3 linked regions of the Xenopus tropicalis genome follow. The protein of the gene in region 1 interacts with the protein of each later gene in a biochemical or structural test. Links are inferred from orthologs where the notes say so. Each region holds a gene or a part of one and is shown in the gene's direction. Other genes may lie near its edges. The genes, in order: flna, itgb1 and asb2.

Region 1 (3,656 bases):
ATGGGAATAATATCTTCAAGTTTCCAGAATGTTGGCTTTAAACTTTTCCCCTCATAAAGTGTAAAGATACATGTTGTGTACATAATAGCATGTCCACAAGGACCTTGGCAAAATTTCCTATGCTAAAATTTGCATTTCCCAGTTTTGTCGACCATGAGAGGAGATGTTTGAAGTTTTGGGGTTTTTTGTAATCTGAATATCCTACATGCATGTGGTGCCTGAATTTTAAGAGCTAGGCTTGCTGCTAGAATATTCCAAACCCATTCAGCATCTTTCCTCTGGAGATGGATTGTTTCTAGAGATTGTAAGATACTATACCTTGAACTCAACCAGCACTAAACAAAATATGAGGAAACTGTATCGGACTGTTTGGCCAAACCTCCTGTCAGTATACTCTGGGACCAAACTGTTCTATATCTATAGATAAGCAGAGACATTGTATTCGGTTTAGTAATGCACTAAACTCTCCATCAGCCAGCCACATTTGTGGTTCAGTCACATCAGTGTTCTGTTTATGTATGGTCTGCACACACAGATTGATGGGAAAAGTCTAGACTGGAATAAAGGCATATACAATAAATCCTAAAGAAATGACACCTAACACAAAAGACTAGGAATCACCTCTTCCTTAGGTTTCTCATAACACACAAAGTCAAATAGAAATGTAAGATGGGAATTGGGAGGCAGGAACTGCATAGAAGACCAGTTGAACCTCTCTTGGTGGTGGCCATAGGCGTAGAGAACCATTAGTTGTGCATAAAGACTTGTATCTCTGTAGGTTTGGAATCTTCACATATATTCCTGGGGGAATCGTGATCTGCTTCTGCTGCTAGCATTTGGAAGTTGTATTTCAGCAACAGCTGGGAAACGTTTTACGATATAGTCAATCCGTTGACCTGTGTCTTGTTACTTGACTAGCTGGAAAGTAATCTAACCTTTGCTTACACCTCCAACACAGGCTCTGGACGGCGAGCAAATGATGCCTCAGCAGATGGTTCAACAGCAGTTAGCCCCACCATACGCTTACCCGGGCATGCAACAACCCTGGGTACCCTGCCTTTAACAGTAAATGTGTCATTTGGAGGTGAATAACCTTCCCAGGGCATTGAGGGTTTGGAGAAAGGAACTCTGGAATCCAGTACTTGCCACAACCACTGCATCTTCTCAAAGCTTTACTCTATCAGCTTGTTTGTTTGTTGCAGCTGGCCTCTAGGGGTCTGGTTTGAGCTCTTGGAGTATTTTCTGGGTACCCATTTATAAGGGGGCGGAGTAAAAAACATATGGCTTTATCTGCTGGGTTGTTTGAAGTGACTTGCTTTGAATGTTAGCGATGAACTTTGTTGCATGCTCCTTCACAAGTACAAACCGTCTTGTGCCAGCTTTTAAAAAAAAAAAAAAAGCCTCTCATTGGTCAGACCTTTATCTATATTTCTGGTCTTTCAGCCTAACCTACCCTCTGATTCTGTAGGGAATGCTTCACTTCAGTAGCTTTCTGCTGTGACAAAGCGCCACCATGGATTCTAAGGAGTTTTATTTTCCTTCCCTGCATGCAATGCCCTGGAGATGGACTTTCACCTCGGTCTCCACTGGCCTTCAAATTTGGGGAGGAGGGTTGATGTTGCTGGGCTCAGTCTTTGTCCGTTCCCATACCTTCCCATTCTTCTTTTTTTCCCCCTCCTCATACCCAACATCTAATGTCTCCCTGCCCATAAAATCCATCTCTTATCAGATTTCCTTACTGTCACCAGCCCTTGTGTGGGTGGCACAAATGAGGTGACCTTTTCCACCTCTGGTCAGTCTTCACCTGGTGTCTGATGACTTTGTCTAATGGTCTCTTGCAGAATTCATTTTCCAGGTTTGCCAGCTTTTTTGGATAAACATCCTGCAAAGACTAAATCCATTTTTTTTTTTGTGTGTAAAAACCAACTCTGTTTCAAGTTCAAATAAAACATATATACCATGTTTCTTAATATGAATTGTTTTGTATTCTATCAAACAATTCACAGAAAGCTTTATTAAATAAAGTTTTGCGCTAATATTGAATTAATTTAATCCACGCCACAGCCATTTTTACTTATCAGCTTATTACCAAGAAAGTGGACCCGAGGGGGAGGGAGTCACATGTACGTTTGGCATATCCAACCTATAGCTGCAGCTTTACAACACCCCCCAGATATATCATTGGCTATCAGAATGTTGAATTGCCAGAGCTTATTTCTGGAAATCCCCAAAGACCATACTGATAGAAGATGATATACTAGATTCTATAAACCATTTAGAGGTTTTTGGGGTTGGAATTGGAAGATTCCCTGAATCTGTCCCTACTGACTTTGCTGCTCCTCAATCATTATGATGTCCCATAGTAGGAAACTTGTGGTTTTTACATTACATAGTTATTGCTATTTTCTGTGCATTGTCTTTATTGAAGTACAGATAAGAACTTGCACTGGAGTTGGGAATCTTTTTGTCATCTGTTGACGGAAGTGTTTTGTGTTTCCTTGTCAGGAAGGACTCTTTACTCACTTAAGTTTCATTTCAGGCTACTGATCGTCCAGTTATGGGTGTAAATGGACTGGATGTGGCAGGACTTAGACCTTTTGATCTGGTTATTCCCTTCACCATTAAAAAAGGAGAGATTACAGGTAAGCATGGAGTAGAGGAAACAGACATTAAGCTGTTGTCTGACTGCAGTTTTGCATGACAAATGTACTAGTATTAAGTGTTGATACTAATTTTTTCTACCATGGTTTTGTGGCAAACTAGCATAACTTGACTATAACATTTCTAAGTATGACTAGTGATTGTCTAGCCAAGAATTTTGTGTTTTAATAACTGGTGGTAACTAGGGTGTTGTTGGTTAATAGGGCTTTGGGAGTAGAACAGAGTTTGCGTATCATAGTCTATCATTTATGATGATAATAAGGAAGCCTTGTATGATAGTGGAGGGTGGGTGGAAACCAGAATATCCAAGGCAATCCCTAAATGGAACACTAACAGAATTTTCAGTTTATCTGTCCCTGTAAAGCACTGCGGAATATGACCCTATATGAAGTACAATTCTGTCCTTATGGGTTTTCCATAAGCTATAAGTAGTTTGTATTAATAGGTCCATGAAAGGGAACTTTGTTGGGTGGTCGACCACCTTTTTTTCCGCTAACAAAGCCATTCATTTTGACTGCAGGAGAAGTGCGAATGCCATCAGGGAAGGTGGCCAAGCCTGACATCACTGATAACAAAGATGGAACAGTCACGGTGAGATATGCTCCCACTGAAGCTGGACTCCATGAGATGGATATAAAGTATGATGGCATGCATATTCCAGGTAATATTCTGCAGCTCCACCTTGGCACCAATCTGTTAGGAAAACCTTTAATCCTTAAAAGTAGCTTGACAATTTTACTGGCAAAGGGTTTTATAAGAGGCTTGATTGATATGCTGATATTTGTATTAAGTATTCTTGTACTTTGCATTTTGACTGGCGGCTGTATTTATTTTTCACTCTTAACCAGAACTCTTGCTTTATAGGAAGCCCCCTACAGTTTTATGTGGATTATGTAAACAGTGGCCATGTTACTGCCTATGGCCCAGGCTTGATTCATGGAACAGTGAATAAACCTGCTGTCTTCACTGTGAACACTAAGGATGCTGGAGAAGGT
Region 2 (3,656 bases), on another chromosome or scaffold:
AACCTATTTAAACTGTAGAATTTGACTTTAATTGTGCTTAGTTTAGGGGCATACATAGCCTAGGCATCATAGCTCTCTGTACAGTTAAAAAACTTTGGGTATGTCCTTTTTAGCTTTATTTGGTCTTGCCATCATCACCTGCTTCTCATGTACCCAGTGATATCAGGTCTCGTGCCACTGACCACTCAGCTTTGCCACCTCTCACAGTATCAGGGGGCAGATAGAGATGTATATAACACTGCAATACTGATATGACTTTCAAAACAAGAGGCTGGAGTGCTGCAATAACAAAATATCTGTATTTGCTATCAGTCTCTCCCTATTTTGTCCAGTTTCTGCCTATTCAGAGCAATTTTTCCCAAAACAAAGATGCACGGATTTCCAAACAAAAGTAGTTACAAGAGCCATCCTTGATAAAGGTCCTTATGTGGACCAAAACGTTGATTATAGCTGGTCCTTACCATATATAATATAATATATATATGTATATAATATTGTGTGTGTGTGTGTGTGTGTGTGTGTGTGTACAGCCATGTATATTTTACCTAGTTTGATGGAGGGCATTGGGATATTCAGCTGGTAACTGGTCAGTGTAAGAATTGTCTGTTCGCTGAAGGCATCCTGTAAGATGAGAATGACTTATTGAGCCTTTGCATTTTATTTTTGTCCTGTCTGGTTGTTTCATGTGGAAATGGGATTTTTCAACTTATCACTAATAAATTTATTTTTTCTAGGTGGGACAGAATGTCTAAAAGCAAATGCCAAATCATGTGGAGAATGTATTCAAGCCGGGCCCAACTGCGGCTGGTGCACTAAAGTGGTGAGTTTTTGCCAGATTTTGTCAAGAGCTCATTAGTAAAACATTTTAGAGGTGTATTTTGGTAGTGCCCAATAATGGGCAGGTATAGATGTGTCACAGCAACTGAACCATACCTTATTACACATAAGAGCATCTTAATGCATAGAACAGAATAAAAGAACTCTACTTAATTAGTGTTACAATAAGCAGAGCAAATTATTTCATAGTCAATGGCTATAAAGCCCCAGATGTCATCTAAGCCTACTTTATTATATCCGGTAGCTGTGCGACTGAGTGACTGTGGCCAGGGAAATACTGCTGTATACATTCCGTTCTCTCATATGACTTCTATATTGAGCAAACTAGAAGATATAGGTCCTAAGTTCTAGAGCAGGGGTAGGGAACCTATGGCTCGGGAGCCAGATGTGGCTCTTTTGATGGCTGCATCTGGCTCGCTGCCAAATCTTTAATAAAAAAAAAAAACTGGGGGTGTGGCCTGCGCTTGGCATATAGAAGACGTGTTCTAAGTCTTAGAAAACGTCTTCTATCCGCCGAACGCAGGCCACGCCCTCCTCCACATCCGGCATCCTTGGCACCCACCCTACCTTGCCCCTGCGCTCGGCGGATAGAAGACGTGTTCTAAGCCTTAGAACATGTCTTCTATCCGCCAAGTGCAGGCCACGCCCTCCTCTGCATCGAATATGCATCCGGCATCCTTGGGGCCCACCCTACCTTGCCCCGCAGCATCCACGGCCAAACATATTGTATGGCTCTCACGGAATTATATTTTAAAAGATGTGGTGTTTATGGCTCTCTCAGCCAAAAAGGTTCCCGACCCCTGTTCCAGAGTATGTCTGAGACATGATGCCCTCCTAATGTAAGCCAATGCTGGAGAGGAAAGGGTGTTAAATAGCTGCAGTTCCTTTCAAGAGAGCCACAGTGATATATTGCCTCCTGTATCATTGGCCTTAGTATTGGTTATTGCCAAAAAAAAAATTAATGACTGCTGAAGTTGCAATAAAGCAAAGGAGTGCCGTCTCTGCCCAGCTAAAGGTGCTTAGTAAAGTCCAGCGATTACTGTATCTTAAACATTACACAGTAATGACATTTGCTTTCTCCTGGAAGAGGCTTCTGGCTATGGAAAATGGCAGAACAGCCCAATACCCTTGTACCATTTAAAATGAATTGTACGAATGGCATCTTTGCTGCACATTTATAGCTGAATCCCACTTTGAATTGAGGTGCAAAAATTAAAACCTTTTAATTTGTTGAATTTCAAGTATATATCCATTATCAGAGTAATTTATATGCCTTCTTTTCCCCGTGGTTAATCTCAGAACTTCTTACAAGAAGGAGAGCCCACGTCAGCACGTTGTGACGATTTGGCTGCTTTGAAAAACAAAGGCTGCCCTGAAGAAGACATCCAAAACCCCAGGGGACGTAAACAAAAGCTAAAAGATATCCCAATAACAAACAAAGGGAAAGGAGAACGTATGGACCCTGCAAACATCACCCAAATCCGACCTCAACAACTGGTATTCGAACTGCGATCAGGTAGGCTCCTAAACCTTAGATAGGGGGCAGCTTTCTCCTCTCCAGCACCATCTAATTGTGTCTGTTGTTTTATGCTAGGTGAACCCCAGACATTTAATTTGACATTCAGAAGAGCAGAAGACTATCCAATTGACCTGTACTATCTTATGGACCTCTCATTTTCTATGAAAGATGACTTGGAGAACGTTAAAAGCCTTGGAACAGCACTAATGACAGAAATGGAGAAAATTACTTCAGATTTCCGGATAGGTACATTTATCTCAAATTACTGTTGCCTAGCTGTATTATATATCAGCACTTGGTAGCCTGATGTCACTAGTCTTATTCCTATGCTTTAATACCTTGCACTATTTGCTGGCACTTATGTGAAATTAGTTACTGTTACATTACAATTATGTAGAAAACAGTAATTGTTACATAGTACTGCCAATTACAGTGTATGTCGCTCCTTAGAAAGCTGGCCATTTTATCCCTCCTTCCTAAATTGATGGGTGCTTACAAGTACCTGTAACTTTCTCTGCATCCTTTGAGAAATACTTTTAAAATGGCATGCCAGTGTATACCATTAGTATAGTCATCAGTTTTAGACCAGCCATGTAAAATTATAAAGGTTTCCTGCCCTTTGGATACTGGCATAAGCAATTCTACCAAACACATTCCTATTTTACTTGTTTTCTCTCTAGGTTTTGGCTCTTTTGTGGAAAAAACAGTCATGCCCTACATAAGCACCACTCCTGCCAAGCTTATTAACCCATGCACAAGTGATCAGAATTGCACCAGCCCATTCAGCTATAAAAATGTCCTCAACCTCACTAGCGACGGAAAGTTGTTTAACGACCTGGTAGGCAAGCAGCAGATCTCCGGTAACTTGGATTCTCCCGAGGGAGGCTTTGATGCAATTATGCAGGTTGCGGTCTGTGGTGTAAGTATTTTTAGCCATTATTTTGATCTTGGTTACGAGACTGTCTGTTCTGTACCACAAGAAAAATCATTAAGGGCATTGGCACATTGTTATGAGCCAAGGGGGTCTGGTCCAAAGGTTGGGCCTAACTGGTTGGGCCTAAGGTCTACCTTAGAATGTATTGTGGTTTTTGGCCTTAGAAATTCTCAAGAACTTTTGGGCAGTATTGGAAGTACATGTAAAAAGTCAAACAGCGTTTGTTTCGCCGCCCCATATAGATAGCTCACACATTTATTTTACTCTGGCTTGAAATTCTGCACCTTTGAGCAGTGTCATGTTTTAGTGGCTTAAATCGGTTGTTCACCTTTAATTTTACTTTTAGTATTATGTAGAGCAATGTTG
Region 3 (3,756 bases), about 56 Mb from region 1:
GATTTATATGTGTGCTGCTAAATAGGTACCCAATTGAGTGTGCTTTATTAAGAGATGGCTCTCAGGTGTATTCTAAATATACACCAAAAAGCAATACATACTGCAGATCTAAACTTGTGTTATTAATAAAGTATACACTGGAAATGCAGGCAGGCACTCAGGATCACCAAAACATGTTTCAAAGCAGCTCAATTTAGAGTCAAAACATTTTCAGTTTATTATGTCCGTACACAATGCCAAAAAGCCTTACACATTTTGTACCAAGAGGGGTACTTAGTCATAGCCATAATGTATGGGGCATATTGTAAAAGGCAAAGAAAACTACCAAACCATTCCAGTGAAGTTTTGAAAGAAAAGGACATATTCTTGCATCTGGAGGCATTATCTTTCCACTCATACCAAAAGGAGGATGTTCCAGTGGAAGAGCTCTCAGAGAGGTAGGTCTGCATGTGCAAAAAGAAACTGCTTTCTCCATGCTGAAGAACAGGACATGTATTTAGCATTGGAAATTGTAATTCATTACAGTCATATGCAAATGCCTACATATACCTGTGGTTCTTCCACACTGTACACAATTAACAGCCTCTTGTAAATATGCCTTTAATTTACAATCAGCCATTTTCTGTACTTTTTTTTCACAGAATATAGAAAACAAATGTTTGACTGAGCCAAAAAAAAGTTACAATTAAAAGAAAATTACGTTTACGTCTAAACAATAAAATCTTTCCAACTGTTATTGCATTCCTTCTGGAAGAAGGAATTAAAACATATATTTATATGGCATGAGTCTGGGATTGTGCCAAATAATTTTAAGTGTTCAGTTGGAAATCAAGGACTTGTTACAAGTGATGACTTGGCTCAGATACCTCTAAGGAAGAATACCAAAATCATTTCTTTTTTTCTTAAGAATGTATCCTTATAAGGCCTATTGTCAGGATGTATAAACAATGAGACAAGGGAGGAGTGAGCCCTCTGTGCAACTTCTCCACGGGATCCAGTAATATCTGCTGCAGGCCAATGCAACAGGGAATATTATTCTGGATGGCAGAGCTGGCTCTTCTAATCTCTGCATAAGAAATCTGAGCTACATGACAGAGTTTTGGCTTGTCGTGTCTGATCATGCGGTGCTCCAGAAATAAACTGTAGCCTACAAAGTCTGTGTTACAGGGCAGTTTCGCAGAGGCAGAGGCAACCTGCTGCAGGGGAGGACAAGGGTGCAACTTATGGGCTGTCTGTGAGCCCTAGGCACTTTAACAAGCTCATTTCATTCTCCTGGAAATATAAAGGTAACGCTAGCATGCATTCTACCAGCATCCTCAAACAATGCATTCTTTTATAATGCTGCACTGAATACTATTCAATGAAGTATTTGGTGTTTTACAGAGAAAACAAATATGAGAAGGCAAATAATTAAAGCAAGTTAGAGCAAACTTTGTACTTTGCTCTGAGAGCTTCCATTTTCTTTTTTATGTATTCAAGGATTAAGAATGCTTCTCTTCTTAAATTATAATTTATTTGCAAATCACTATAGTCATTTTATTTAAAATGCTATTCATGCTTTTAATTTAGCTTGGCTACCTATACCACTGGCAATCCCAGACCGAGACTGAGCACAGAGTCTTAACTTAATGTCTGGGCAGTAACTTGCAAGGAATGTAGCAGTCTCCAGCAATCAGCCAAGTTATTTTATTCTTGCAAATATTTAAAAAAAAATGAAATCCTTTTAAAAAGTATACACATACAGCCATGCATTTTCGCTGCTTTTTCACTTCTTTGCCATTCCAATTAAGGGTCACAGAAAGGAACCATATTTAGAAATACCTTGCTAAGATTAAAAATAATTACCATAACAAAAAAAAAATAACCAACAGAAAGAGATTTTTTTCCTATTTTTAGCTTTTTAGTTGATAAACTGCAACTTTGAACATGAAAGGATGTCAGGCACAGCTTTTCCAACATTGATCTACTGTGCAGTAAGTAGCTTATCAATAGCAATATGACATGTAGTGTGGTGCAGTACAAGGTGCACTGACATTGGATAAAGATGCATGGTCAGGCCAAGCAAGTCAGTGTCATTGATCTAGACAGACAGGCTGGTCTTTGCCACGGAACTACATTTGACCTGGTAATGATGAATATACAGTGTTCTCCTGGCCAAATTTATTTCACAGGCAGTTTTATATAGACTGACAGATGGTGCTGCTCTGGATTTGTTTACTTGCTAGGTTTGATCTTTGGAAGATGCCAATATTGGTGCTTCAAATTTAGTTTCCCGTATTAAGTGATATTGCATAAGTGAAACATGTTATTATGTCTGACTGTTGCTTAACCACAGTTCAGTCAGCTGTTAAAACCTATAAGTAAACATCAAGCAATTTATCAGATCATGTATCATTATACGTAAGAGGGAACTTACATAAAGGGAACTTCTGAGGCTGACTAATTACACTATAACAACATTTATCATGTATCTTTTTTTATAACAACCAAGGAGCAAAATCTCTGCAACAGGATCCTGCTTTGAATTACAGTGATGAATGAAGTTAAATGGAAGTTGGCAGTTGCTCATGTTTAAAAGAGTGTTGTATTTTGCAAGGTTCACACTGTAAAACGATATGCACTGTGCTGAACTGCTGAGCTTGCTTACTGGGATCAGTGCTGGGAAAATTACACAAGCCTCCAGCCAAGGCAATATGATATAACTTTAGTAATACATTTACATTTCTCTGTCCTATTTAACAGAATGCCTCCTAAGATTATAAGTACATGTTATCAAGTTTTCAAACATCAGATGTAAGTGGCTTAGAGACTCAAGATAGCTATGATGTTATGTATGTCACCCCTTGTGATGTAATGAAGTCCTGTTATTGGACAACATTACTGTCTATATGTGGCCAGCTAAAGGTTGCACAAAATGGTTGATTTGGCTGCAGGTTGATTTTAAAGGTGTTTACGAATACACTGTTTATAGATGGGATTTAATTACAGCTTTCAAGATAACAATAAACTGCTGATCACATTCGTATTAATAATTTAACATACATAAGACTGTACACAGAGTAATCAATATCATTTAACTTACTGATAATTCATTATAAATCAAGTGAAAGTAAATCTTTTTGTATAAGGCATTTTAAGGAATTCTTTTGTATGTATCCACTCTACAATCAGTGCTTAGCTTGAGGTTATATTATACTTTCCAGCTCTAAATGAGTTGTGCTCAAGCCAAGTTTGTACCTATTAAAATATAAATAAGAGAAATGACTATGATCTAGACAAGGTCAAACTTCAATTGCAAATTTCTTATTAAGAAACCTAAGTGATGAACACCCCGAATGCTAAGTAACCTTGTAAATATAATACTAAAGGAGTCATTTACAACAGTGTGAAAAGTGCAATTTTGGACACAATTCATCAAGTTTTGTGCCACAATTCCAGCATTGTGCCTGATTTTTGTTGCCACAATTACACACAATTCCAGCACAGTGTGCTTGAATACTGATGCAAATCAGGTGCAAGATGCATATAGCATTTCCAGGGTAAAGGTGTACATTTAAAATGGCATTTGCATTCAACTTACTGGACCCAAGTCTGGTGCATCTATTGATGCAAGCCACCGTTGAAACCTTGGTGTAACCACCAAGCCAAGGGGGGAAACAGTTTCAGAGTCACCCTGCATCACTTAATATTCATTAGAAAAGTCAGAGTTGAAACAATGTGCACCCATATGACAGAGCAGGAGCTAGTTTCTAACTA

The links.
Region 2: the proteins of flna (region 1) and itgb1 form a complex in vitro, tested with the Homo sapiens proteins (3 studies listed by BioGRID and IntAct). The link is inferred for Xenopus tropicalis from reciprocal best matches to the Homo sapiens genes FLNA and ITGB1.
Region 3: the proteins of flna (region 1) and asb2 form a complex in vitro, tested with the Homo sapiens proteins (3 studies listed by BioGRID, with this or other methods). The link is inferred for Xenopus tropicalis from reciprocal best matches to the Homo sapiens genes FLNA and ASB2.

What each region holds. Positions count from the first base shown.
Region 1 is NC_030684.2:31,809,726-31,813,381, forward strand, and holds part of flna (filamin-A), read left to right. Parts: intron 1-958; coding exon 959-1,048; intron 1,049-2,539; coding exon 2,540-2,642; intron 2,643-3,181; coding exon 3,182-3,322; intron 3,323-3,525; coding exon 3,526-3,654; intron 3,655-3,656. UniProt on the Homo sapiens protein: Promotes orthogonal branching of actin filaments and links actin filaments to membrane glycoproteins. Anchors various transmembrane proteins to the actin cytoskeleton and serves as a scaffold for a wide range of cytoplasmic signaling proteins.
Region 2 is NC_030682.2:22,881,904-22,885,559, forward strand, and holds part of itgb1 (integrin beta-1 precursor), read left to right. Parts: intron 1-734; coding exon 735-820; intron 821-2,136; coding exon 2,137-2,353; intron 2,354-2,431; coding exon 2,432-2,602; intron 2,603-3,036; coding exon 3,037-3,275; intron 3,276-3,656.
Region 3 is NC_030684.2:88,133,193-88,136,948, reverse strand, and holds the start of asb2 (ankyrin repeat and SOCS box protein 2), read left to right. Parts: upstream 1-1,056; 5' UTR 1,057-1,286; intron 1,287-3,756. UniProt on the Homo sapiens protein: Substrate-recognition component of a SCF-like ECS (Elongin-Cullin-SOCS-box protein) E3 ubiquitin-protein ligase complex which mediates the ubiquitination and subsequent proteasomal degradation of target proteins.